Kluyveromyces lactis: one gene and its partners. The protein of the gene in region 2 purifies or fractionates together with the protein of the main gene of each other region. This does not show direct contact. Links are inferred from orthologs where the notes say so. Each region holds a gene or a part of one and is shown on either strand. Other genes may lie near its edges.

Region 1 (3,924 bases), on a different chromosome or scaffold from region 2:
TAAGGGCACATAGGAGAGAGAAAAAAAAAACTGTCGCCTGATAAACCGATAGAGAAATAATAGAGGCAATCAAATATAACTCAAGCAAAATGATGTTGGTCGACGGTTAAATATTCCAGGTATACTGAGATTGTTTTGGTGAAATATTTATGTCAGTGTTTCCTTTTTTTCTATTTTATTTAGATCCTACAATTTTCATCCTTTTTATTCTTCAAGATTAGTCAATAACTTTCAAAGATAAAATTGTTACTGAGGTCAGAGGGATGTTGGTTATTTGGTCAAGGAAAAGCAAATCAAAGGTATAACTCTTATAATTTTACAGAGTACGTAACTATTTTACAAATAAAGGAGTAATAATTAAATTTAACCCACCCAATGCAGACAAATAAATGAAAGTAGTGACTAATATATATAGTTCAATAGAGATAGAAAAGAAATTGGCAACACGATAATATATGTTCGAAATCACCAGTGATGGAAAGGAAGGAAGAACAGACAGTTTAACGGAAATCAGTCTTACCAACACCACGCTTACCTGAGAACAAATGTTTTGGTAGAGAGGCAGTAGCATGTCTGTCAGATTCACCGGCTCTGGCCATTCTGTTTCTTTCTCTTCTTTCTAATTTGGCCATTCTTTCAGCCTTCGATCTCATTGAACCATCAGCAACACCGTCTGTCAATCTATCTGTCTGTCTTAGCTTACCAGCTGGAGCAGAATCTTCTTGATCACCGTATACCACGTCAGCACCAGTTTGCTCATATCTGTTCTTTTCAGCAGCGACTCTTTGCTTATCTTGCAAAGCAGTCATATCGTGACCTAAAGAAGACATGTGCTTCTCCATGTCACCATATGTCTTTGCCAATTTAGAACGAGGCATGGTACCACGGTTCTTCAATGCCTTTCTGTTTCTTGAAGCATTGATCATCTTCTTTTGTCTATCTCTAATCCATTCTGCCTTTTCTCTGATCTCAGAGATTTCGTCAGCATCAAATCCTTCGTAAGTTTCTTCTTCGTCGGATTCATAGAAGCCTTCAGATTCTAATCTTTCTTCTTCTTCCTCTAAAGCTTGTAATTTGATTGCGATTTCTGGATCCAAGAAGTCATAAACGTTCTTACCATCTAAGATTTCTGGCATGACATCGTTCTTCCATTCATCGTCTTCCAATAGATACTTGTCCTTCAAATTAACGTTGTATACACCGGCCCCACCGTTTTCGATTTCAATTTCTTTAGCCAATTTTCTTCTGTTTGGATCTTCTGGATCATATTTCTTCATCTTAGCGATGGCTTCTGGAATATATGGAGTTCTGTCAATACCATCATCACGCTTTTGAGGTTGAGCGACGTGGATCTTGTTTAAGACGTTAGTGATTCTAGCTTGAGATTTTAGCTTGTTTTCAATTCTGGAAGCCAACAACTTTTCACAAGCCTTGTTTCTAACAGCCATAACGTTATCTTCTTCATGACAAGAAGTGGTCATGATTTCAACACCTGGAACTTCCAAAACAGTATCCAAAAGTTTCTTACGTTCTTCGTCTAAATCTTCAGGTTTAATGATATCAGTCTTGTTAATGACGACCATGACGGATTTATTGGCAAACAATGGTTTGATCGAATGGAATAATTTGACTTGAGCTTCAATAGAGAAACCACACTGTTCTGATAGATCCATGAAGTACATAACAGTAGAACGCAAATGAGCAATAGCATAAATGGATTGCATTTCGACGTTGTTCATTTCATCCGTAGGTCTATCCAAGATACCTGGAGTATCAATCGCTTGGAATCTCAAGTATTTATAATCAAAATGACCCACATATAGCGACTTGGTGGTGAAAGCATAAGGTTGCACTTCGACATCAGCCTTAGTGATACATCTCAAGAAAGAGGATTTACCCACATTTGGATAACCGCAAATCAACAAAGTTCTGGTGTTTGGGTCGATGGATGGCATTCTACCCAAATGTTGTCTAACTTGTTCCAAATACACTAAAGGATCCTTCAACTTCTTCACAATGGTAGCCATTCTACCAAGAGCGGCTCTCTTCAATTGTTTACATTGGAAAAGAGATTGACCGAATTTTAACAATCTTGTGTAATCTCTTTCAACTTGTTCGACCAATGTCTTAGCACGACTCACAGCAGCCAAAGAAACTTTGAAATGATTCTTTTCATACAAAGTATCCATCAAATCCCTATGGAAAGGATGCACGTCGTTAATATTAGGGAAACCTTTCAAAATATCATCAAATTTTTCCACGAACCCTTCACCGGTGAACTTCACCTTTCTCATGTAAAACGCTCTGATACGAGTGATATTGAAACCTGGTCTAATAACAGTAGGTGTCTTTCTTTGAGTTCTGTTCAACACAATGTCCAACAAGTCATTGGCAGGAGCCACGGTCGGAATATCTTTCCAGGATAATTGCATTGTTGCTTAATTGATTTGACGTAAACTTTGGGATACACGCACACACGGGGACAACAAAAAACAATTAAACTAGCAATAATGCAGTTAAGCTATGCTTAGTTGTTTGAACAAACTTCCAATCTATTCAAACTACCTGTCAAACGGATGTCACACTGATAATCAAGCTCTGTCTATCACTTCGAATGCACAATGAGATGAGATGAGATGAGATGAGCTTGCCGTTTGGAAAATTTTCCCACTACTGCAAACCTTTGAAAAGAAAAAAAAAATTGTGCTTTCAGGATTTCTTTTTCGTATGGATCTCAGAATTGACCGTTAAAGGCATACACATTGGTTATGTCACGTGACTAAAGCACTTTCTTTTGAGACTGTCGGGGTAACAATATATTTTACTGTTAAAATGTATGTGAACATTTTATTTACGGTTTACGTTTCAACTTTCAATATATACAGAAATATCAATGAGATTTTGATCTGAAAGAATACAGCTTGAGTCCAATCTCTAGATTCATTATAACTTTCTAATCACTACCTGATAATTGCCTAATTTCCGGTAGAATTGCCTTATCCGCCTTTTTTTTTTGAATTTTTCTCTTCAAATATAGATTTGTTTCGTTACTATGTCGGAACCAAGCCCACAATCTACGATAGCCATTGCCAATCTACTCAGGACTCATAGCGACTTGAAGCAAAGACAAGGATTGTTCCAATCGCGTTTAGTTGACTTCTTCCGTTATAAAAGATTTGTTAGAGCTTTGAAAAGTGATAAATATAAGGCAAAGTCCAAAAAACAACCCGAATTGTACCCCGCTGTGACAAGCGATGAAGATGCTCGTAACATTTTTGTTTCCTTAATCAAGGCCCAATTTGTCGTACCAGCGGTTAAATTACATTCTGCAGAATGTAAAGAACATGGTCTAAAGCCAAACAAATCATATCCAAACTTATTATTATCGAATAAAGCGACTCTACAACCAGATGAATATTACGTCTGGTCTTATAATCCAAAATCAATTTATGATTACTTGACTGTGATCGGTATCATAGTCGGTGTGCTAGCATTCGTGTGTTACCCATTATGGCCTCCATATATGAAACGTGGTACTTACTACTTATCCATTGCAGCATTGGCACTTATCGGTGTATTCTTTGGTATTGCAATTGTGAGATTGATAGTTTACTTGTTGTCATTAGCTGCAGTTAGCGAGAAGGGTGGGTTCTGGCTCTTCCCAAACTTGTTCGAAGATTGCGGTGTTATAGAAAGTTTCAAACCGCTATATGGATTTGGTGAAAAGGAATGCTATAGCTTCCTGAAGAAAGAAAAGAGAAAGCATAGATCAGTTGCAAAGAAGCAAAAATAACTTCAATGTAACGGACTTCCATCCCAGACTGTACATTAGCAATTTAACTATCACAGAAGGTGTATGTTCATTCTTTCGGTGAGAATCACATACTAATATCACATATAAACATACAAACATATATAAATATA
Region 2 (2,974 bases):
AATTAGACGGTCTATGGAAAGTGCAATCAGGCTTAGATTTAGCGAGAAAGTATTCAGAAAACAATAGACAAGATCCCTCAGAACTATATGACACTATAATATCCGAATACAAGGATAAAACTGAAAAAACTGATGGTGATGAAACCACTACTGATAATGTCATAGTAAAACAATGGCAGAATCTAAGATCTTTGAGGCCGAAATACTTGTTTGAGTTTAATAAGGTCAGCGAAAAAACTACTCTGGCGGGGTTCGCCAATGAAGAACTCATTAGGAATGATATCGAATCTAAGAAAAGACGGCTAGCCGAAAGAATAGAGTCAAAAAAGAAGAAACATTCCGAACAAGTCGCCGAGGCTGAACAGTTTTTCAAAGACAAGGAACAAGAAAGGAAAGATCTACTTCAAGCGAAGATAAAAAGTCAAAGAGAAACTCTGGAAAATGGAAAAAATGATAAAACAACTTCGCCTGATGATCAAGATAATGATTCACTAAAGAGAAGACACGATAGTCCAGAGGCTGACGGGAATGAAGAAGAACAAGCTGTTTCGAAGAAACAAAAACTTGAGGAAGAAGTTGAAGAACCAGATGCTGACGCTGAGGCTCAAAAGGAAAAAGCGCTTGAATCTGAACCAACAGAGCTTAAAACAATAGAAAGTACAGAAACAGAAGTAGAGGTGCCGAAAGAACATGAAGGAAGCTCCCACACGGAGTAGGCTAACAATACAGTAATATTTTTTCAGACATCCGTTCAAATATATAGCATATAATTCGATTGAAGAATCATTTATTTTATCAATTACAGATGTTACTTATCAATATCACACGATTCTAGACTATTCCTCTCCTAATTGACATTCGACAGCTATCTCCTTGTCTATTATGAATCGATATCCTTTACTTTGCTTCGAAAGTGAATGTTACCCGGAGAATAATCATATTTCTTTTTTTTTATGTCAATTTTTCATTTAGACAATCCGATGCCAATAAGATGAAAAAAAAAAAAAGAGATGAGATGCGATGCGATGAGATGAATTCAAGTACACAATTAATACTCGGGGACTGGCGTATCGTTTTACTAATCCTTACCATACTATTCAGGACAATCCACCTCAAACAAACAGACAAAATAGTTAGTTATGGCGGGATCTAAGGACAGACCAGCTCAGTACAAACAATCTTCTCGTAAAGGTAAGAAGGCATGGAGAAAGAATATTGATATAAGCGATGTGGAACGCAAGCTCGAAGAGAAGCAGATCCTTGAGACTACTCATGGTAAGCAGAATTTGACAGAACTTAGCGATGATGCGCTTTTTGCGGTTGATACTGAGGGTGACCAAGTTTTAAAGCAGAAATTAGTGAAGAGGAAAGCAATCAAGAAAACTCTGAAGTCAACCGAGATTTTGGAGTCTATCAAGTCTAAATCCAAAGTGCCTGCTCTAACCAACCCAAAGACTGCTAACAAGAAACATGATAAGATCCAAGGGGTATCAAAGAAAGAACTGGACAGATTACTTGCTTTAGCTGGTAAAAAAATTGGTGAAAGTAAGTTGAAAGCAAGAGTTGCAAAAGAAGGTCTTGTGAAGTCAGGATCCCTTGATTTATGGGGCGAAGATGCTGGTAAGGAGGTTAAAGTACCATCTGGACTGAAGCTTAAGATAGCACCAGAAGAAGTAGAGAAACTTCCAAATGGATTCTTAAAACAGTCTACAACTAGTTGGTCCGTCGCAACTGTTAAGCCGGATTCCATTGCTCGCGTGCCAGAAATTGTCAAAGAAAGAGATGTCATTCCACATGCAGGAAAGTCATATAATCCAAGCAAAGAAGAATGGGAGGCTCTTATAAGTACTGAATATGAGGGTGAGCTGATAAATGAACAGCGCAGGATAGCTTTAGAACAATATAAACAACGAATTCAACACTTGATGGATACTATTGAAGATAAGGAGGAAGAGGACTCCGATTCAGAAGAAGAAAATGAATCAGAACTTGATGATAAAGACCTTTCAGAAGAGGGAGAAGAGACTAAGTTGTCTCTGAATCCAGCAACTAAGAATAAAAAGAAAACGAAATATCAGAGAAATAAACAAAGAAGACACGAAGAAAAAGTCAAACTTCAGCAAGAATTAAAGAAATTGAAGGAAAAGGTTCTCAAACTTGAAAAATTAGAGGAAATTCAGCAGGAAGTGGAATCCACCGTCCCAAATCCGGTCTCTACAGCCGGAAAAGTTAAAAAGAACAAGAAGCATAAGCTTGGTACTAAACATTCCGTCATGGAAGACAATTTAGAGGTGAAATTCTCAGATGAACTATCAGATTCATTAAGAAAATTAAGACCAGAAGGTAATCTGCTATATGACACTGTGAGAGCATTACAAAGTTCTGGTAGGGTAGAATCTCGTATCCCTATTAGAAAAGGTAGAAGATATAAACCAAGAGTCACTGAGAAATGGACTTACAAGGACTTCAAATAGATTAATTTGCTCTTTTCTTTCTATACATCATTCCGTACCATTTGTACAATAAAATACACAGACGTACCTGTGCTTTTCTTGCATAATTTATATAGAGCAAAATATTAATAGATTCATTAACTCTGTGATTATATTATATAATAGTAATGAATACAATATCCGACACTTTTACTACTGATTGAACTACACACCAAGAATAGTTCATTTGACTTGGCAGATTTAAATTTTCAAACCAATTTTTCACACCAATGTCAACTTTGCCTGTAGTTCATCTCTCTGCCTTTCCCATTCTTTTACCTTTGTTAGCTTTTGGTTTAGGGTTTCAATCTCATTTTCGATTGATAAAATAGCTTCGTCTGACCCTAATGCCTGTAGGCTCCAATCAGTTCCGTTAGTCAATTCCAATAGGTAGTCATGGTATTTTATCAAAGACGGGCGTTGAGAGATGGATATGAAGTTGAATCTGTATCTCTTCAACATGGTAAAAAGATGATCTTCCA
Region 3 (4,251 bases), on a different chromosome or scaffold from region 2:
CTGAGACGAGCTAGTCTAGGCAGTAGTAAATCGTTCCCTCGAGAGTAACGCGTTGGAACATATGCCTTCCCGGCCCCATTTAGTGCGGGCCAGCATCACGGGCCACAGCCCGTGATGCGAAGAAGGCTTAATGCCGACGCATGAATATAGCTGATAGTGTCGAGATTTCCATTCAAGCTGAAGTTCCTCAAACATCCTGTAGTGGTCTCTTTTTCTTTTCGAGTTTTTTTTTTCCCTGTTAGATCATGTCCTTCTCGGTCCAAAACCGTTGGCACACCGTTAAGCCGTGTTAATAGTCCTTTTTGACCTGGGATATGAGCAGCAGACAAGTGGTCTCGGATGGTGATATCACATTGGCTGAAAGGACAACTTCAAAACTGGGCTAAATGGAGAAAATGAGTTGGTCACGTGACACTGACGTGTCTTTTTTTTCTATCTTTTATATGCTGTGTCTACAAGTGCCTATAATTAATATAACTACTTTTGCCATGCCATCTAGTTTAATTACCTTTCTTCTTTTGCTTCGTGATATGAGCACGCAAGACCTTTTGTTTGTCACGAAGCGACATTTTTTGCTTACCCTTCACAGATCTCTTATGGATCATCATCACAAAGTTCTTCTTTCTAGATTTCTCTTTATTTGTAGTTGATCTCATTGAACTGTCACGCTTACCACGCTTACTTCCGTATTTTTCACGGTCTTCACGACCTTCCATAATAGATGCCATTCTTTCCTCTTTGTTCTGTTTCTTGTGCTTGGCTGGACCCATAAGCTTGTAATGCTCAATAGTTTCTTCGTTGTTGATCCCCATAAGTTTAGTAACACCCTTTTCAGTACGTAGTTCTTGAAGTTTAGCGAAATCGGCTGGTGTTAAGATACGACTGGATGCTAATTCACGGAAAGCTTCTTCTGGGTCAGCGGATTCACTTTCTTCCTTCTGCTCTTCTCCCACCTTTGGTTCTTCTTCATCACCGGATAATTCTAAATCACTATCTTCACCAGCTTCCGGTTCGACTTCATCGTGGGAACGTTTCTTACCCTTATGACCTGTTTTGTTCTTGCTTTCCTCATCGTCAGAGTCCATGTCAACTTCGTACTCTTTATCGCTTTCTATCGTCACCCACTCACCTTCTACATCCGAAGCATCTGATAATTCATCCCGGTTGTTCAAATCCCATGCAGCCTCATCATCATCATCCTCCTCGTTTCCGTTCTCACGCTTCCACTTCGCTAGTAACTCAATACCATCTATACCTTGTACATTAGTAGTCTCGACACCAAACTTGACACGTTTGGATTCCCTGCCATTGCGTTTGTCGTCCTGTAGTCCCATAGAAGCGGTCTTACCACGATCTTTCTTCTTTAACATCTCCGGAGCAACTTCTCTGTATAATGCAATCAAACCCTTAGCAGCAATGGCGACACTCTTGGCCTTGGAGCCCTTATATTCGGTTAAATCTTGTAGTAAAGTCTCATCGATAGCTAATGGGGCACGAGTCAAGATTTCTCTGACTGTATTCAAACCCACAGTGGCAACCTCATTTGAAACACCGTCGCTAACAAACTCGTTGGCTATCTTCCTCACCATCACTTCAATGGTCTCTGGAGGAACAAGATCATGACAGGATTGGGCTGCAGCAGATAGAATCTTGGTAACGTCCCTTTGCTTTGGCGTCAGGTATTTTAAGAAGTATGAATATAGTCCAAGAACCATTAACTTGTGTGTACCTGTTAAACGGGATAATAATTGCATGATGGCAGTCTTTTGTTCGAAATCAAATTTGTTCGAATTCTTACCACTTAGATGTCTTTCAAACAATTTCTCGGCAAACCCTTGTGGATCACGTAATAGATGGATGGCACTGAAATTTAAGAAATTATTCTGTTGAACACCTTTAGCAGATTTCTTCTTTACGACCTTAAGTGCTTGCTCTAGCTTCTTACCTCTTTTACTAGATTTCTTGTTGATCTGGAGCTTGTGCTTCAAAGCGGTAGTATCGATTTCATCCTCATCGTCGTTTTCTTCAAACGCTTCTTCACGCTCTTTATCAGCATCCAAAAAGAACAAGACACCACTGTATGCAATTTTAACATCGTTATGTAGTGCAGCATGGGTCATAATTTCAACCGATCTTGAATCGTCCCAGATACCTCTTCTCCATAACTCTCTTGTCAATTTCGATGCCCATATACCTTGAGAATCTGGCTGTTCCAACAAATTGAAACACAACGCATGGGTAGATTTGTTTAATTTTTGGTTCTTACCACTGGTGTTACAAGATTTCATCAACTGTACTAGAGTGTTGTAGATTAAAGTTCTTAGCTCTTTGGCGTGAGAATTCTGGACCATCGAATTACTAGGGGAAGAGTATGCAATAAGCAATGGGAACATAGTTTGAATCAAAGTCTCAGGGCTGATAACGTTCTTATTTCTCAACATAGTTAGACTGGTGATAATCTTTTCTTTCACGTCAAACGGAAGCGATTTGTGGTGATCTAATACTAACTGTTTCAATTCGTTTGGGAAGTTTGCCGTTTCACGAGGATAACAGGAACAAACTTGAGATACAAATCCAATTGCTCCCATAAACTCAGCCATTGCACTTTCATCAGTGCTCTCGTTGTTGACCGAATTTAACATGAAAATGTCTCTTAATGATTGGTAGTGAGCATATTGCTGTAGAAACTCTTCACGATAGGATTCAGGATCACGCTTAACAAGGTTCTGCAAGAGAATAATGTTTGTCGGTAGAATAGCAGCACGAGATCTCCTAACCATATTTGTTTCTTATTTGATTATGTGATTCCTTTTCACTGTTCGGAAATACTTAGTTGATTTGCACAAGTTCGAATAGTGTTAGGCAACTTTAGTTGTCTCGGAGTGATATACTTTGTTCATACATAGGTTCTATCTCATCGCATCTCATCTCAAAATTTTCTTCCTTCTAAAAAATTTCTTTTCACTCACGGTACGGAAAGAAGAAACCAGAGGCAAAAAGTGGGTTTAAGGCTCTTTAATATCTGAATAGGCAAAATGGTATACTGATGGTAGCTTATTATTGTGTTCCATAAATGAATAATAGTCCACACCAAACGAATATTTGTTTGCAATGTTTATAAATTATGTACGCCGTTTAAATATAGTTCCAAAAATATAATCGAAATGAAATTGATACACCAATTTAGTGTAAAATATTAAAATAAAAAAGAGCAAAAACAGACATCTGTATCAAGTAACGATATGTAAATAGCAGTTGGTATTCATATAATTTTCTTGAGTTTGATCTGATGGATATCGTACAAGAGAAGAGAAACAGTGACGACGTAGAAACTATTTTTGTCCAAAGAGACCGTTAATAGCATCGTAATTGATCTTCTTTGAGAAAGTCGTCTTTTGTAATAGATTCTTGACACCTCCAGCTGCGACAACATCTACAGCATCAGCGTCATCCACGGAAACATCAAGCGGTAGTCCGTCGACTTGAACTTTGACGATGCTTGCACTGGATTGGTTTCTATTAGTACGTTTGCTGCGTTTTTTTCGTAGCGAAGTATTCCCACTGGCCAAATCTGCTTCCTGTTTGAGTCTTTTTGATTCTTGTTCAATCAAGTAATCACCGTTGATATCAATCCAAATACGTTCTTTCAATTTGGAAGCTTCTTCATCTAACAAGTGAGAATCCAATTCTGCATCATCAACATCATCCAAATTTTCAGGATGATCGCTGACTTTTGAAAGCAGAGAAGCTGTGGTGGGTAATAAATGTAAATTTCTTGGTCTATATGGATCCTTTTCAAGACTATATCCATCAATTTCATCCAGGGAACGTTTCTTGTCTTTCTCAGTTTTGTGTAAGTCTTCTCCATCGATTCCATGCGTAGCTTTTATACGACTGAATTCAGCTTTTCTGCGTTCAGAAAGCTTCTTCAAATAATAAAGGACTTCTTTAGACGATAGTTCCTGCGCTCCGAGCACTTGAGTCAAAATTGGATTTCTTGACACGGCTTCCTCGCTTGTCTCCAACATCTCTTTAGTATCCAAAGAATCTTTTATTTTCTTTTCCTTTAGTCTGTTCTTATCGAAACTAGGAGGTTTCGATTCGGCACTTCTCTCACCCTCATTTACCTCAGTTTCATCATCACGGAACTCTTTCACGGAGAGCTTAGCTGATGTTGTATTCTTAAACTCATTCAATCTTTGCTGAAGCGTTTCCTCTGCAACATGAGATATTGCCACGATTTCAGAATGC
Region 4 (2,169 bases), on a different chromosome or scaffold from region 2:
ATAGAAAGAAATGACTGTCGTATAGTTCTTTCTGTTAGGTTGCATATCATACGTCGAGGTGAATTTCTTTAAAAAAAAGTCCATATACTCCCAGCTCATGGCTTTTGAAGCTGCAAATATACAAGCATTTAGCATATACTGTGTTGGCTGGAAACTTTTCTTCGATAATGTAGCATCCATTCTCTCTGTTAACTCTCGAAGTTTACCACATACTTCCAATTTGCCCTGTGCTGATGGTGATGTAACCCGAGAAAAAGACAACATGAGATGCTCGTATAAGTTACCATTTAACCGCGAGGAGTCATTCCCAACGCTTTCCATTATCATCTCATCCAATTGGGATAAGCTCGTAAAGGAAAGTTTATCGAATTTCGAAAGAATCTTGGAATAAATAAATTGGATTCCTAAACCCTTTAGTCTCTGTTCTGAATGGTATAGTTCTGTTACTATCGGATTAAAATCCCTATTCCTCTTATCAAACAAACACCTCAAAATGAGGTCCTTGTCCTTTATCCTCTCTGATAATCGCTCGGGTAGTAACGATGTATCAGCTTTATCTGATAACAAAAGAGTTGAAAGATTCTGTTCTGCCCCAGGGCCCGCTACCTTATCGTTCAATGAACTTAAAATAACTCCAGCATCGCTGTCAAAATCATGCATCTCGGGATCTACCGATTTTGTCTCCTCCTCTTCTATAACATGCTTACGCTTTAGCTCATCAGTGTACTTGATCTGTTCTCGAAGATTTCTGGTGAACTCTTTCAACTGATTAACCTTGAACTGAACTTCCTTCTCATTAGTGAAATCGATTGAATCCAAATCTAACACATCTTTCGTATCAGTGACAGATCTCGCCCGTCTCTTACGAGATCTAACATCTCTGCTAGCTGGCATGATCACACTCCTTCGCGCATTTCGTACCAGTGTTGACGAAGTCTTACCATTCTTTCCAAGTGAAAGCATTCCCTCTTACAGTGGTTTCCAAAAGATCAAAAGAGCACCTTTTATATGTTCCTTACACTATAATTCAATTAATCGATGATCTAGCGACAGATAACACCGATTGAACTTTTGAACTAATACTTTCATGGTAAGTTCATCTCATCTCATCTCATTTCTAACTAGAAATTTTTCAATCTTTAATGTTAAAGATTTCTTTTTCATTATTATGTGATAGTGAAAAATTAGAGAGACAATGAGATGAGATGAGATGAGATGAGAGAAACACATACAAAGGTTGTAACAAAGTGGTCGTGACTGGAGTAACCATTACTGTAGTAATCGCGAAAGTGTACGAATTATCATGTCAGACAATACAGCAGAACAGCAGGATATACAGATCAAGGGTAAGCCCGTTAGTGGCCGCACCTGGAAGGTAGAGAAAGAACCTTTGAGGGCTAAGAACAGAGTCGTGAAGAATAAGAAGTTGACCTCATGGGAATTGAAGAAACAAAAGAGACTAGAAGATCAGCAGTTCAAGGAAAAGGTACGTGCTTTGAAGGAGGAGAAGAAAGCCGAGAAAGACGCTGTTATTCAAGCTTTGAAGGAAAGAAGAGCAAAGAAGGAAGAACAAGAAAGGTACGATAGATTGGCTGCCAAGATGCACGCTAAGAAGGTCGATAGACTAAGAAGAAGAGAAAAGAGAAATAAGGCTTTGAAAGAGCGTTGAGACATAAAGTCATAAATACTGTATAATAGAATAAAGACATATCTGCATTAACGATTTAGGCTTGTTCCGTCCTCCGCAATTGTATATACTGACGATGAAAAAGTATGTGGGAAATTGACAAAAATTAAAACCAATTTGCTGCTTCTGTGGATCGAACACAGGACCTTATGAACTTCAGTCATACGCTCTCCCAACTGAGCTAAAGCAGCCAAATTAATTACAAGAACCAGTTTTCTTTCGCTCACCTTGCACTAAAATTACTGTTATGGATATTTCTCAATGATTTTCTAATGATGGATGTGAGTGTCAACTTAACGATAGAACAGGATTAAGTTTATAGTGTATGAGATACGTCTCGGTACGCTCTGATATTTCGAACGGTGAATTTATTAGTGCTCTGTTAAAAGGGATCTTTTGCTCAGTGCCGTTGAAATAATTGAAACAATGTCAAAGGATTTGGGAGAGATTATCCATTCGGATAAAGGCCATTTACTGGAGCT
Region 5 (3,395 bases), on a different chromosome or scaffold from region 2:
GACTTTGACTGTCAAATAAAGCACTGAGTTCGGCACTTTCGGCATCAGATAATGGTCCCAATTTGTCCATTTCTGATTTAAGTTCATTTAAAAGCTCAATTTCTGAGTTTTCCTGTTGTTGTGGTTGCTGTGCTTGGGTTGATTGTAGTCTAGTACAAATCCGAAATGATCTTGGGCTCATAGCCGCAAAACTTCTTGTAACTCTTGTAAGCATTATTAACTAGCCGTTGTATTATTAGTAGGCTGTTGTGTGGTTATGCAGGTTTTCCCGGTGTACACCTTTCTTACTATATAGATAACTTATCGATTTCCTATGGTAAATGCCGGCTGAATCGTTCTTCATCTTTTCAACTATGCTTGAAGCTTTAATTTTTCAAAATTTTCAGCTTGTAAGAAGAAGGGACACCTGTGCACCTCATAATAAATGTAAAAGAAGCTATAACATACATAAGGCAGTCTATAATTTAATCATGCTAATTATTCAGATGCAGTGGATCCACTCAATGAGTCCATATCCTGACCATTTTATCTTTCCCACCGCTACATACACGTTTACCGTCTACAGACCAATCTACAGTGTAGACTTCATCTTGATGACCGGGTAGATCGACGGACAGTTTTCTAGTTTTGACATCCCAGACTTTTAAAGTGGTATCTTTGGAACAAGAAACGAGTAGTCTACAGTCGCTTGACCAAGCTACTTGGTAGACACTCGCTACATGTCCTCTAAAGGTGGATAGGAATTTACCATCCCTTCCATCCCATAATTTAATGGAGTTGTCAAAGGATGCAGAAACAATGTAACGGCCATCTGGCGAAAATGCAACGTGGTTGACGAGCTTTTGGTGGCCGGTCATTCTGGTAATAGGTTTAGTAGACTTCAAGGGGTTCCACAGATACATAGTAAAATCGTCACTGGCAGTTACCATCAGTTCTTCGAAGTCACCTTTTCTTTTAGCAACTTTTTCGTAATTTTTCAGAGCCTTCTGTTGGGCTTCTTCAGGTGAAGCAGGAGTTTCGCCCTTGTGATCGAACGCACCGAGTCTTAATGCATAATCTGTTGAAAGTGAAAGATGATTAACCCAATGGGCGTGTGATTTTAGGATATTGATACATTTACCGTTCAAATTCATGTCCCAGCATCTGATTGTTTTATCGTGAGAACCACTGTATAGAACATTTTTTCCACCCCACTTGACACAGGAAACAGAAGACGTATGGCCACATAAGGTTAAAAGGCAAACTCTTCTTGTTGTATCCCAGATTTTGATAGTTCCATCCTTGGATGCAGTTGCTAATCTCGGTTTGTCACCAGGTTTGACAAGATGGATTGGTTCCCAAGATAAGGAGGTAATCCATTTCGAGTGACCTCTTAAAGCATCACCATAAGGCTTACCTTTGCTTGATTCCCATAATCTAATTGTGTTGTCCATAGAACCTGTGGCGATTAATTCACCATCTGGAGACCAGGAACAACATAGGACCCAGTTGTGATGGCCTTGTAACGTGCACATACGCGTTTGAGTGTCACAATCCCAGATACATGCAGTATTGTCACCAGCACCGGTAACCATCCTGGAGCTTGTATTTGGAGCAAATGCAGAACACAAAATTGTCGAGCCATGACCAGCAATTGCAGAAGACGACCGAGTTACTGGTTTTACTTTGAAGATAGCTCTTGGGGTATACACTAGAGTCAAAAAATCTTCGGTAGTTTTCAAACCTGGTTTTAAAATGGATTGATATAGATTATCTCTAATATCTACCATTTCCTCATCTGCATCCTTCTTTTTGTTGCTAACTAAACAGCTAAACGTGTATGGAACAGGATCTGCCGAGTCTCCATTTAACTGATTCAACAATTCCTCCAGTTGCTGCTCCGAAATACCACCTGGAACCCTTAGAGAACCTCCAACAGTTTCACCACTGTCAAAAGCTTGGAATTTAATGAGAACATTTGGAAGGTCTTTGGGAATAAGGTCAACTCCACGTTCAGCTTGAGCTTCTCTTCTTTGCTTCTTTGAAGGCGGTGGGAGTAAGGTTGCCATGTTTCGTTTGGATTGCTTGGCCTAACAAATTCAGAGAATTATTTTGGGCTCGTTTAATTACCTAAAAACTTCTTTCGAGAAAAGACCTGTGATTATTGCTGGAATACTAATATCGTTCACCAGAACCTTCTCCTTTTTAGGGAAGTCGACTTGGTAGTTGAAGCTCATCTCATCTCATCTCATCGGCATCTCAAAAGATTTTCTTGAACTTAAGAATTTCTTTTAGTTCACCACTTCCGGGTAATATAAATCTTTATTATGTTGAAACTATGCTCTGAATACCTTATGGGGAGCATCAGGCACAAAAAATTCCTAGACTGCAATTTACTTACTGGCAAGCAACTCACAGATAACGGAAAGTGCATGTTACATTGATACTATACGGATCCGGCATTGTTTAAAAAAAAGTCAAACAAAAGTTCCTATTATTATTATATATACATACAATACTTATACAAAAAAAAAATCTATGGTTACAATTGTTACATATGATCGTCATGGGGAGGAAACTTTTATGTCTATCAGAACTAGTTATGAGTTTCATTATTAAAAGATTCTGCATTGCCACCAAATGCAATGTTACGTATTTGAGAAATCCAGGGATCAAGTAACAATTCCATTGCAGTTGCTCTTTTATTGGCATCTTGTATTAAGCATCTGCTTATGAACTTTCTACCCGCAGATGAAATTTCAGACTTGGTTGGGAATTGCGGAAGGTGACCAGCTGCAACATGATACATGATAGCCCATTCATTGTCTAAGTTAGCCCATGGACGTCTACCGGTCACCATTTCCAGTACAACACAACCTAAAGACCATATATCATCGGATCCGAATTTTCCGTGTCCTTGACCAGTCACCGTTTCTGGTGCCATATACATCGGTGTTCCGATCATATCTTTCCCGCCTGTAGATTTGTTATTGGCATCCAGTGATATCCTCTTTGATCCGTTCTTTGCAATGAGTTTTGCGGCACCAAAATCTACATATTTGATAACGCCATTACGATCCAATAAGATATTCTCCGGTTTGATATCTCTGTGCACAACTCCAGATTGGTGCAAACATGCCAATCCCTCAAGTAATTGTAGTGTGTAAACTTGAGTTACCATTTCATCTTCAATCCGGCCATGTTCGAGTAAACTGGCTAAGGAGGAACCCTCGCAGAATTCCATAAAGATATTAACCTTGTCTCTGTGAACTTCCACACCATAGTACTGAACAATATTCGGGTGATTTAAGATCTCCATGACGCGCATTTCTTCTTTGAGAGATGGGAAAATTTGCTTCATGGATTTAGCATCTTGGATTTTGATCTCTTTTACCGCTAAAATATCACCAGTATCT
Region 6 (4,154 bases), about 800 kb from region 2:
CAGCGATGTCGTTACCAACCCATTCGTCGCTTACGCTATACTTTGAAATGTACTTGTCAATGATAGACAATAGATCAGAGATGTCACGGTCAGGAGAATGAACATAAACTTCGGTAAATCTTGATCGAATACCTGGTGGTAAATCTCTCTTACCGACATCTGTAGCAGGGTTCATACAAGCGAAAATTCTGAAATCTGGATGGGCTTTTATCGATTCTGCCTCACCTTTTTCAGATAGAAGTATACTTCTAGAGTCACTTTCTGAAAGCAAATCAGCTATGTTTTCAAGCGTGTCTGCCGAGGCCAAGTTGACTTCATCCAATAACAACCATTCTCCATTTCTGACAGCCTTCACCAAAGAACCTTCCACAAAATTAAACACAAACGAGTTTTCCAAAGTAGAGGATTGTAATTCAAATGATTCAACTGTTTGTCTGAATTCCTTCCATTTTTCCAATAAAGCTTGTTTACTCTCAGGGTCGAGTTTACGCTTTTTTTTCTTGTCAGCTTCCTCTTTCTCATTTGAGTCCTTTTTTAGAATGCTATCAGCCATTTTAATAGCTTCTTTCCAAAGTTTAGCGACGTTCTTCCATTGCCCCTTGGAGAAGCACTTATGGAGGAGTTTATAGAACTTCTCGTTCTTCTTCAAAGAGAATGTAGCAAGGAAAAGCCCCTCAAAATCTTCTAGAATTGGAATTGCGACAGTCCTACAATTCACAGGCTTGTAACCACCTAATAGATCACCGCTCTCAGTCTGCTGGGAAACGTTAATAACCGTCAAATTCTTATTCATTAGCTTTGCTAACTCTTGAACTACAGTAGTTTTACCAGTACCGGTCTCACCGACTAATAATGTTGGTTCACACATTTTGACGGCAACACCAATTTGTTCCATTAAACGAAGAGAATGATTGGTAAACGCAAACGATGTAGTGTTGGCACTTTTTTTATGAATAGTTGACTTGGGTCTTCTTAGGTGAGCTCTTCCAATTTTCACATCATCACCAGCTTTTTCGATTGCCGGTACATGCTTGTTCAAGAACAACGTGATTCTGGAAACTGAAACTTCAAGCTCTTCTCCAATTTTCTGTACTAAGGGCTGTACGGCTCCATATTCACTAATCGAACCAACAAAACAATCGACAGCTTCAGCAAAAATATCATCATAGATAGACGACTCGATAAGTTGATCCGGTTTAACAACTTGATTAGCTTCAAAAAGTTCGGTGATTCTCTGACTTAGTTTAACTAAATCTCGAACACTAATGATTCTTGGTTGAACACCTTTGTTCAATGAAACAAATTGTGGATTTCTGTAAATATCTTTCACAGATTTGTAGGTGCTGATAAGTTTCGGTATTAAGGCAGTTAACAAAGAAAACCTTTTTTGTAGAATAAGCTTCAAATCGTCTTCAGACGGCTCATCTACAAGGATTTTCTCCCATAATCTCATACCAATCAGGTCAGACTCATGCGTAATGCCACCATGGGAGGTGTGCTCGTCTAGTCTTATTGTTGCTAATAACTGGAAACCGTTGGCAGCTTTGATGACTTCACCTCTAGATGGAATGGATATTTCTCTTTTTTCAAGAAGGGTAAGAAGAACAGACAAGACTTCGGTTGGCGCTTTGTTGATATCCTCGATAAGTACCCATCGTCCCTCTTTAACTGCTGTTGTGAGAACACCGGATCTCCATTCAAAAGAACCGGGTTTTTCACCTGATGTATATGTACCCAAAAGTAGTTTAGCATCAGTTTGTTCACCTAAATGAATTTTGACAACAGAACTATCGCAGTTCATTTTTTTTGAAAGCTCATTGATCAAAAATGTTTTACCTGATCCAGCCTTACCCACAAGCATTACAGGCTTGTTGCGCTGAATACCTTCGGCCAATTTTTGTAAGGCCAACTTGGCACCATCCGTATATACTAGATCTGACTTTAGATGTTCTTCATTAGAAGGTGCTTCGGAGATTCTGGCAATAAATACACCACATACTTCAACAATCAACGACGAAAGTTCATTGATATCGATGTTGAACGATTTTCCAGTTGGTCTGAAGTTCTTTGGATAAGAAACAAGTTCATTGATTTCATTTGGTAGACTATGGTAATTTGAGAGCCTTTTAGCTTCAGTAAGTTCCAAAAATTGATAATCTACATCGGAAGCACCTTCAAATACACTTAAGATAGGTTCAGTTGACAGTTTAAGTTGATTTTGGACCACAAGTTCACAGGCGTGCTCTGCCATTTCAATAAGCATATTAAGAACTTTTAATGACAAAAATTTGATGATTGTAGATTGGTGTGCCAAAAGTGAATTAAGAGTTTGAGCATTGATATATCTCTCAAATCTGATCTTGTCATACTGAATCAATCGATAATAAGCCAAAAGGATCAACTCGATGTCCTTTGGATCATGAGCTTGGTAAGTTTGTAACAATGCGTTAAAGTAGTCACCATTTCTGAGCAAGAACACTTCGATCAATTGCGAAGCTTCCGGATATAAACTTGCAATTCTGCCCAATGCGTGTAATACCGTGACAAACTTCTTGGAGTCGTGTTGCAAAATCCATCTAGAGCAACAGTCCAAGAATATATTCTTGTAAATGTATAAATGAGGAATCGTTAAATCTTCTTTTAACGAGGAAAATGCTAAATTCGACAAGTTCTCATCGGTTGAAAGCTTGGCATCAAATCTATAATAGTCAGACAAGTGCTGCTGAGTAAAAGCCTTCTGGTATATAGTGAAGTTTTCCTCGGCCGCAGTAACATCTAAATAAATTAATGCAGAGGACATGGCTATAGTAATTCAATCCTTCGCCCCTCTTATAAGCAATTCTTCTTTCTTTCCTAGTCAATAAACAGAGGCAGAATAGAAAATATCCGTTTCGATGTTTTGATACTCTGTGAAAGAAGTGATATGCCTTACTTTGCTAAGTCTATAGCGGATCTGCAGTTAAATGTATCCTACACTCAATTTGGCAGTTTGTTTAAAGTCATCTCATCTCATCTCATCTCATCGCTTTTGTTTAAAAAATTCTCAGAGCACAGAAAAACACCAAAAAGAAATAAATATTTCAGTGAAAGAAAGATATACCTGCAATCCATCTCATCGGCAAAAGAAAAATGGATGGGTAAGAGAAAAGAATGCTTTGAGAGAGCCATTAACAGCAAGCCTAAAGTTTACAATCCATCTGAACTCCATTGTCTTCCGATACATTCCTCTGTATGCAATAATTATGGTCGGTAATCCAGTTTTACGTCCGGTTGACATGAAAATGCAACCTGCTCCGTATCAAGACAGAGTTAGAGTTGTCCAAAAGATATACACACAGTTAAAGAGGTTTCAATCGAGCAGCCCTCACATTATAAAGGCATCGACTATTTGGGAACATGAGGTTGCTAAAATAGCAAAAACAAGACAAAGTTACGCGTTCAATGCTTCCATTCTATTACGAGATATTGTTAAATATAAGGGTAATCTTGATAAAACTGGCAAACCTAAGAATAATAGTTCGTCATTAATACAAAGGTCCCACGTATTGCAAAAACTACGATCTTTGCTACTCGACGAGGAAACACTCAGTAGGAACGGATTTTTTGTCAAGATGTATGACACTGATCCGATCAATGAATCAGAATCAGATTATGTGGAATGCTATAGATGTGAAACTAAATTTGATGTGACAAAAATTATGGAACCGACAGTATGTCGGTACCACCTTCAAAGGAAAGTATATAACAGAGAAACTAAAAAAAGAGAATTTCCTTGTTGTGGAGCTTCCCTTGAATCATATTCAGACATATCTGCAGGGTGTATGAAAGCGAAAAATCACGTTTACAAATGGGAGAATTTCACAAAACTGTCGAGTGTGGTCCCTTTTAAATCTCTCGTTGATATCAAAGGCGAAGAGAACGTTTTGGCATTAGACTGTGAGATGGCTTTCACATCGAAAGGGTATGAAATGATTAGAATTACAATAGTTGACTTCTGGTCCTCAGAAGTAGTGTATGACAAGGTAATAAAGCCACTGGGCGAAATTATAGATTTAAATTCTAAATTTAGTGGGATTCATCATATAGATGATACTGCACCTACAATTCATGAAGCAGAAAAATGTTACATCTGTCCTAGCATGATCAATCAAAAT
Region 7 (2,492 bases), on a different chromosome or scaffold from region 2:
CGTGCTCGATGTGGATGCACGTAAATTCGAGAAATTCAACGAGGATTTATACGATAAATTTATTATTATAGCATATAACGGAGTTCATTATGATACGGTAGAGATATTTGATGGAACTCAGCATCAAACTGTATTTGACATCGGAGAGAAAGATACTGAATTCCTTTTACAAAAAACACAGGAGATCGCGAAGAAGATGAAAAGAGAGGGGAAGTCTTTCAATACTGCAAGAGATTCAATTTTATGCAATACTTGTGGCACCACCTTGATTGGAGAACGAGAGGTGAGCAAGCACGCTGAGAAAACTGGTCATGTTGATTTTAGGCAAAAATAAAACAAATATAACCATTGAATAATATTGAAGAAAGAAATAGCACTTAATATATGAGCGTCTGTATATCTACCAGTTTATATAATTGCACTTTCGGTGTATTTCTCTTGTGTTAAATGATAATATACATTGAAGAAAAAGCACAGGAAGTGAAAATGTTTTCCTGCATCTAATCAGCCATTTGAATTTCCCCTTCAGCAACTACAGCTTCTTGCTGTGCTTGTTCCTGTACTGCACCATCAAGGTATGGCAAAGTGGATTCTGTTGTGCTGACGTTGGCCAAAGTGGTATCAAGATGTGAGGTTAATATCTTTTCGTTTTCCTCCTTTTGAGGACCAATTTGAGATTTGATCTGCTCTACTCTAGCCAAGAACGAGTTCACACCACACCCAACAGCAGCATCTGCTACCTGTTGAGTGTATGGAACACCTTTCAATTCCTTCACCCTTCTCTTATGGATTTTAGTCTTCAAATGAGTCTTTAAGGCATATGCAGTTTCGAAATATTTAGCACAGTGTATGCAGTAGTATTGCCCTAGACCCGGTTTAGTTTCATCTATCGGCTGATTCAGGAGACTATCAATTTGCTTTTGAGATGTAAGCTCTTCATAGATCAAATCAAGATCCTTTGTTCTTCTCTTCGTCTTGTAACGTTTAACAGAATATCTTCCCATTTTCCTTTCTTACCTTCTCCTATATTTCTGACAGGCTGGTACCACAGATTAACTTAAACTATCAAACAAAACCAATGAGTATCTAAGTCTCATAGAGAAAGAGATTCAATGATGTGTGTTTGTACTTCTTTCTTCGCACTTGGCTTTATCGTAGAAACACCGAGTACATAAAATTTTCTGCAATATCATGTCTCGTCTCATCTCATCTCATCTCATCGACTTGGAAAAGAAATGAAATTTCAATCAGCATCACGTGCATAACAACGCATCTGGGACTGCTATCCCCAACACCCAGACACTATTACATATTGGCATTCAACATATTTTTATGATACAAAAACAACCACAATAGGAAATAGAGCACGTGATTAGTAACTATTTTCTTTGATTTGTTTTCACAGTAGTTTCTTACCGTGTGACTTCGCTACGACTTTCCAATCTTTTTCAAGTTTCTGACAAATGCAAAAGCTTCCTGCAATAGTTGGTGGTAATCATCGAGATTTTCAAATGTAATAAAAAGAGAACATAATTTAATGATAATTATCGATATCTTTAACATAAGGTTTGATCATTCGCTTCAATTTTGTTTATTATTTACAGGAACACCGATCACCTATCACCGTCCAAAGTAATTCAAAATGGCTAGAAGACCAGCTAGATGTTACAGATACCAAAAGAACAAGCCTTACCCAAAGTCTAGATACAACAGAGCTGTTCCAGACTCTAAGATCAGAATTTATGATTTGGGTAAGAAGAAGGCCACTGTCGATGAATTCCCATTGTGTGTCCACTTAGTTTCCAATGAATTGGAACAATTGTCTTCTGAAGCTTTGGAAGCTGCTCGTATTACTGCTAACAAGTACATCACCAAGATGACTGGTAGAGATTCTTTCCACTTAAGAGTCAGAGTCCACCCATTCCACGTTTTGAGAATCAACAAGATGTTGTCTTGTGCCGGTGCCGATAGATTGCAACAAGGTATGAGAGGTGCTTGGGGTAAGCCTCACGGTTTGGCTGCCAGAGTTGCCATTGGTCAAGTTATCTTCTCTGTCAGAACCAAGGACAACAACAAGGACACTGTCATTGAAGGTTTGAGAAGAGCTAGATACAAGTTCCCAGGTCAACAAAAGATCATTATCTCTAAGAAGTGGGGTTTCACTTCTTTGAACCGTGAAGAATACGTTAAGAAGAGAGACGCTGGTGAAATTAAGGACGATGGTGCTTTTGTCAAGTTCTTGTCCAAGAAGGGTTCTTTGGAAGAAAACATCAGAGAATTCCCAGAATACTTCGCTAAGGCTTAAATTTTTTATGTGTTGAATCAATAATAATTTCATCGTCATTTTAAGTAACCTAACCTACATACTATTTTAGCTTACCATTATGTTTTGGAGTTAATTCAATATCATTTTTCTTTCCTTCTCTTTAATCTCAAGTATGGACAATTCTCCCGAATAAAATGATACAAACCTATCCTTTGGCAATTACAAT

Evidence for each region.
Region 1: the proteins of NOP53 (region 2) and NOG1 purify together in Saccharomyces cerevisiae (affinity purification with mass spectrometry; 7 studies listed by BioGRID, with this or other methods). This does not show direct contact. The link is inferred for Kluyveromyces lactis from reciprocal best matches to the Saccharomyces cerevisiae genes NOP53 and NOG1.
Region 3: the proteins of NOP53 (region 2) and SDA1 purify together in Saccharomyces cerevisiae (affinity purification with mass spectrometry; 5 studies listed by BioGRID, with this or other methods). This does not show direct contact. The link is inferred for Kluyveromyces lactis from reciprocal best matches to the Saccharomyces cerevisiae genes NOP53 and SDA1.
Region 4: the proteins of NOP53 (region 2) and CGR1 purify together in Saccharomyces cerevisiae (affinity purification with mass spectrometry; 3 studies listed by BioGRID). This does not show direct contact. The link is inferred for Kluyveromyces lactis from reciprocal best matches to the Saccharomyces cerevisiae genes NOP53 and CGR1.
Region 5: the proteins of NOP53 (region 2) and RSA4 purify together in Saccharomyces cerevisiae (affinity purification with mass spectrometry; 5 studies listed by BioGRID, with this or other methods). This does not show direct contact. The link is inferred for Kluyveromyces lactis from reciprocal best matches to the Saccharomyces cerevisiae genes NOP53 and RSA4.
Region 6: the proteins of NOP53 (region 2) and REA1 purify together in Saccharomyces cerevisiae (affinity purification with mass spectrometry, with the first as the bait; 3 studies listed by BioGRID). This does not show direct contact. The link is inferred for Kluyveromyces lactis from reciprocal best matches to the Saccharomyces cerevisiae genes NOP53 and REA1.
Region 7: the proteins of NOP53 (region 2) and BUD20 purify together in Saccharomyces cerevisiae (affinity purification with mass spectrometry; 3 studies listed by BioGRID). This does not show direct contact. The link is inferred for Kluyveromyces lactis from reciprocal best matches to the Saccharomyces cerevisiae genes NOP53 and BUD20.

Annotation. Positions count from the first base shown.
Region 1 is NC_006041.1:2,150,259-2,154,182, forward strand, and holds NOG1 (putative GTPase NOG1), read right to left. Parts: upstream 2,433-3,924; coding exon 501-2,432; downstream 1-500. Other genes in the region: Sec63 complex subunit SEC62, read left to right, coding at 3,053-3,793. UniProt on the Saccharomyces cerevisiae protein: Involved in the biogenesis of the 60S ribosomal subunit.
Region 2 is NC_006042.1:1,055,269-1,058,242, reverse strand, and holds NOP53 (Nop53p), read left to right. Parts: upstream 1-1,139; coding exon 1,140-2,474; downstream 2,475-2,974. Other genes in the region: HPR1 (Hpr1p), read left to right, coding at 1-716; ATP-binding cassette long-chain fatty acid transporter PXA1, read right to left, coding at 2,715-2,974. UniProt on the Saccharomyces cerevisiae protein: Late-acting factor in the nuclear maturation of 60S ribosomal subunits, which is required for normal acquisition of export competence. Required for the export of the large subunit.
Region 3 is NC_006037.1:498,626-502,876, reverse strand, and holds SDA1 (Sda1p), read right to left. Parts: upstream 2,781-4,251; coding exon 501-2,780; downstream 1-500. Other genes in the region: transcription factor TFIIIB subunit BRF1, read right to left, coding at 3,333-4,251.
Region 4 is NC_006041.1:950,129-952,297, reverse strand, and holds CGR1 (Cgr1p), read left to right. Parts: upstream 1-1,303; coding exon 1,304-1,669; downstream 1,670-2,169. Other genes in the region: CCM1 (Ccm1p), read right to left, coding at 1-963; KLLA0_E10737g (inositol oxygenase), read left to right, coding at 2,114-2,169. UniProt on the Saccharomyces cerevisiae protein: Involved in nucleolar integrity and required for processing of the pre-rRNA for the 60S ribosome subunit.
Region 5 is NC_006039.1:748,390-751,784, reverse strand, and holds RSA4 (Rsa4p), read right to left. Parts: upstream 2,049-3,395; coding exon 501-2,048; downstream 1-500. Other genes in the region: IMG2 (mitochondrial 54S ribosomal protein mL49), read right to left, coding at 1-214; mitogen-activated protein kinase kinase kinase SSK2, read right to left, coding at 2,576-3,395. UniProt on the Saccharomyces cerevisiae protein: Involved in ribosome biogenesis. Required for processing and efficient intra-nuclear transport of pre-60S ribosomal subunits.
Region 6 is NC_006042.1:1,851,630-1,855,783, forward strand, and holds the start of REA1 (AAA family ATPase midasin), read right to left. Parts: upstream 2,801-4,154; coding exon 1-2,800. Other genes in the region: REX3 (RNA exonuclease), read left to right, coding at 2,964-4,154. UniProt on the Saccharomyces cerevisiae protein: Nuclear chaperone required for maturation and nuclear export of pre-60S ribosome subunits.
Region 7 is NC_006040.1:486,379-488,870, forward strand, and holds BUD20 (Bud20p), read right to left. Parts: upstream 1,005-2,492; coding exon 501-1,004; downstream 1-500. Other genes in the region: ubiquitin-specific protease OTU1, read left to right, coding at 1-334; RPL10 (60S ribosomal protein uL16), read left to right, coding at 1,643-2,305. UniProt on the Saccharomyces cerevisiae protein: Involved in pre-60S ribosomal particles maturation by promoting the nuclear export of the 60S ribosome. Involved in positioning the proximal bud pole signal.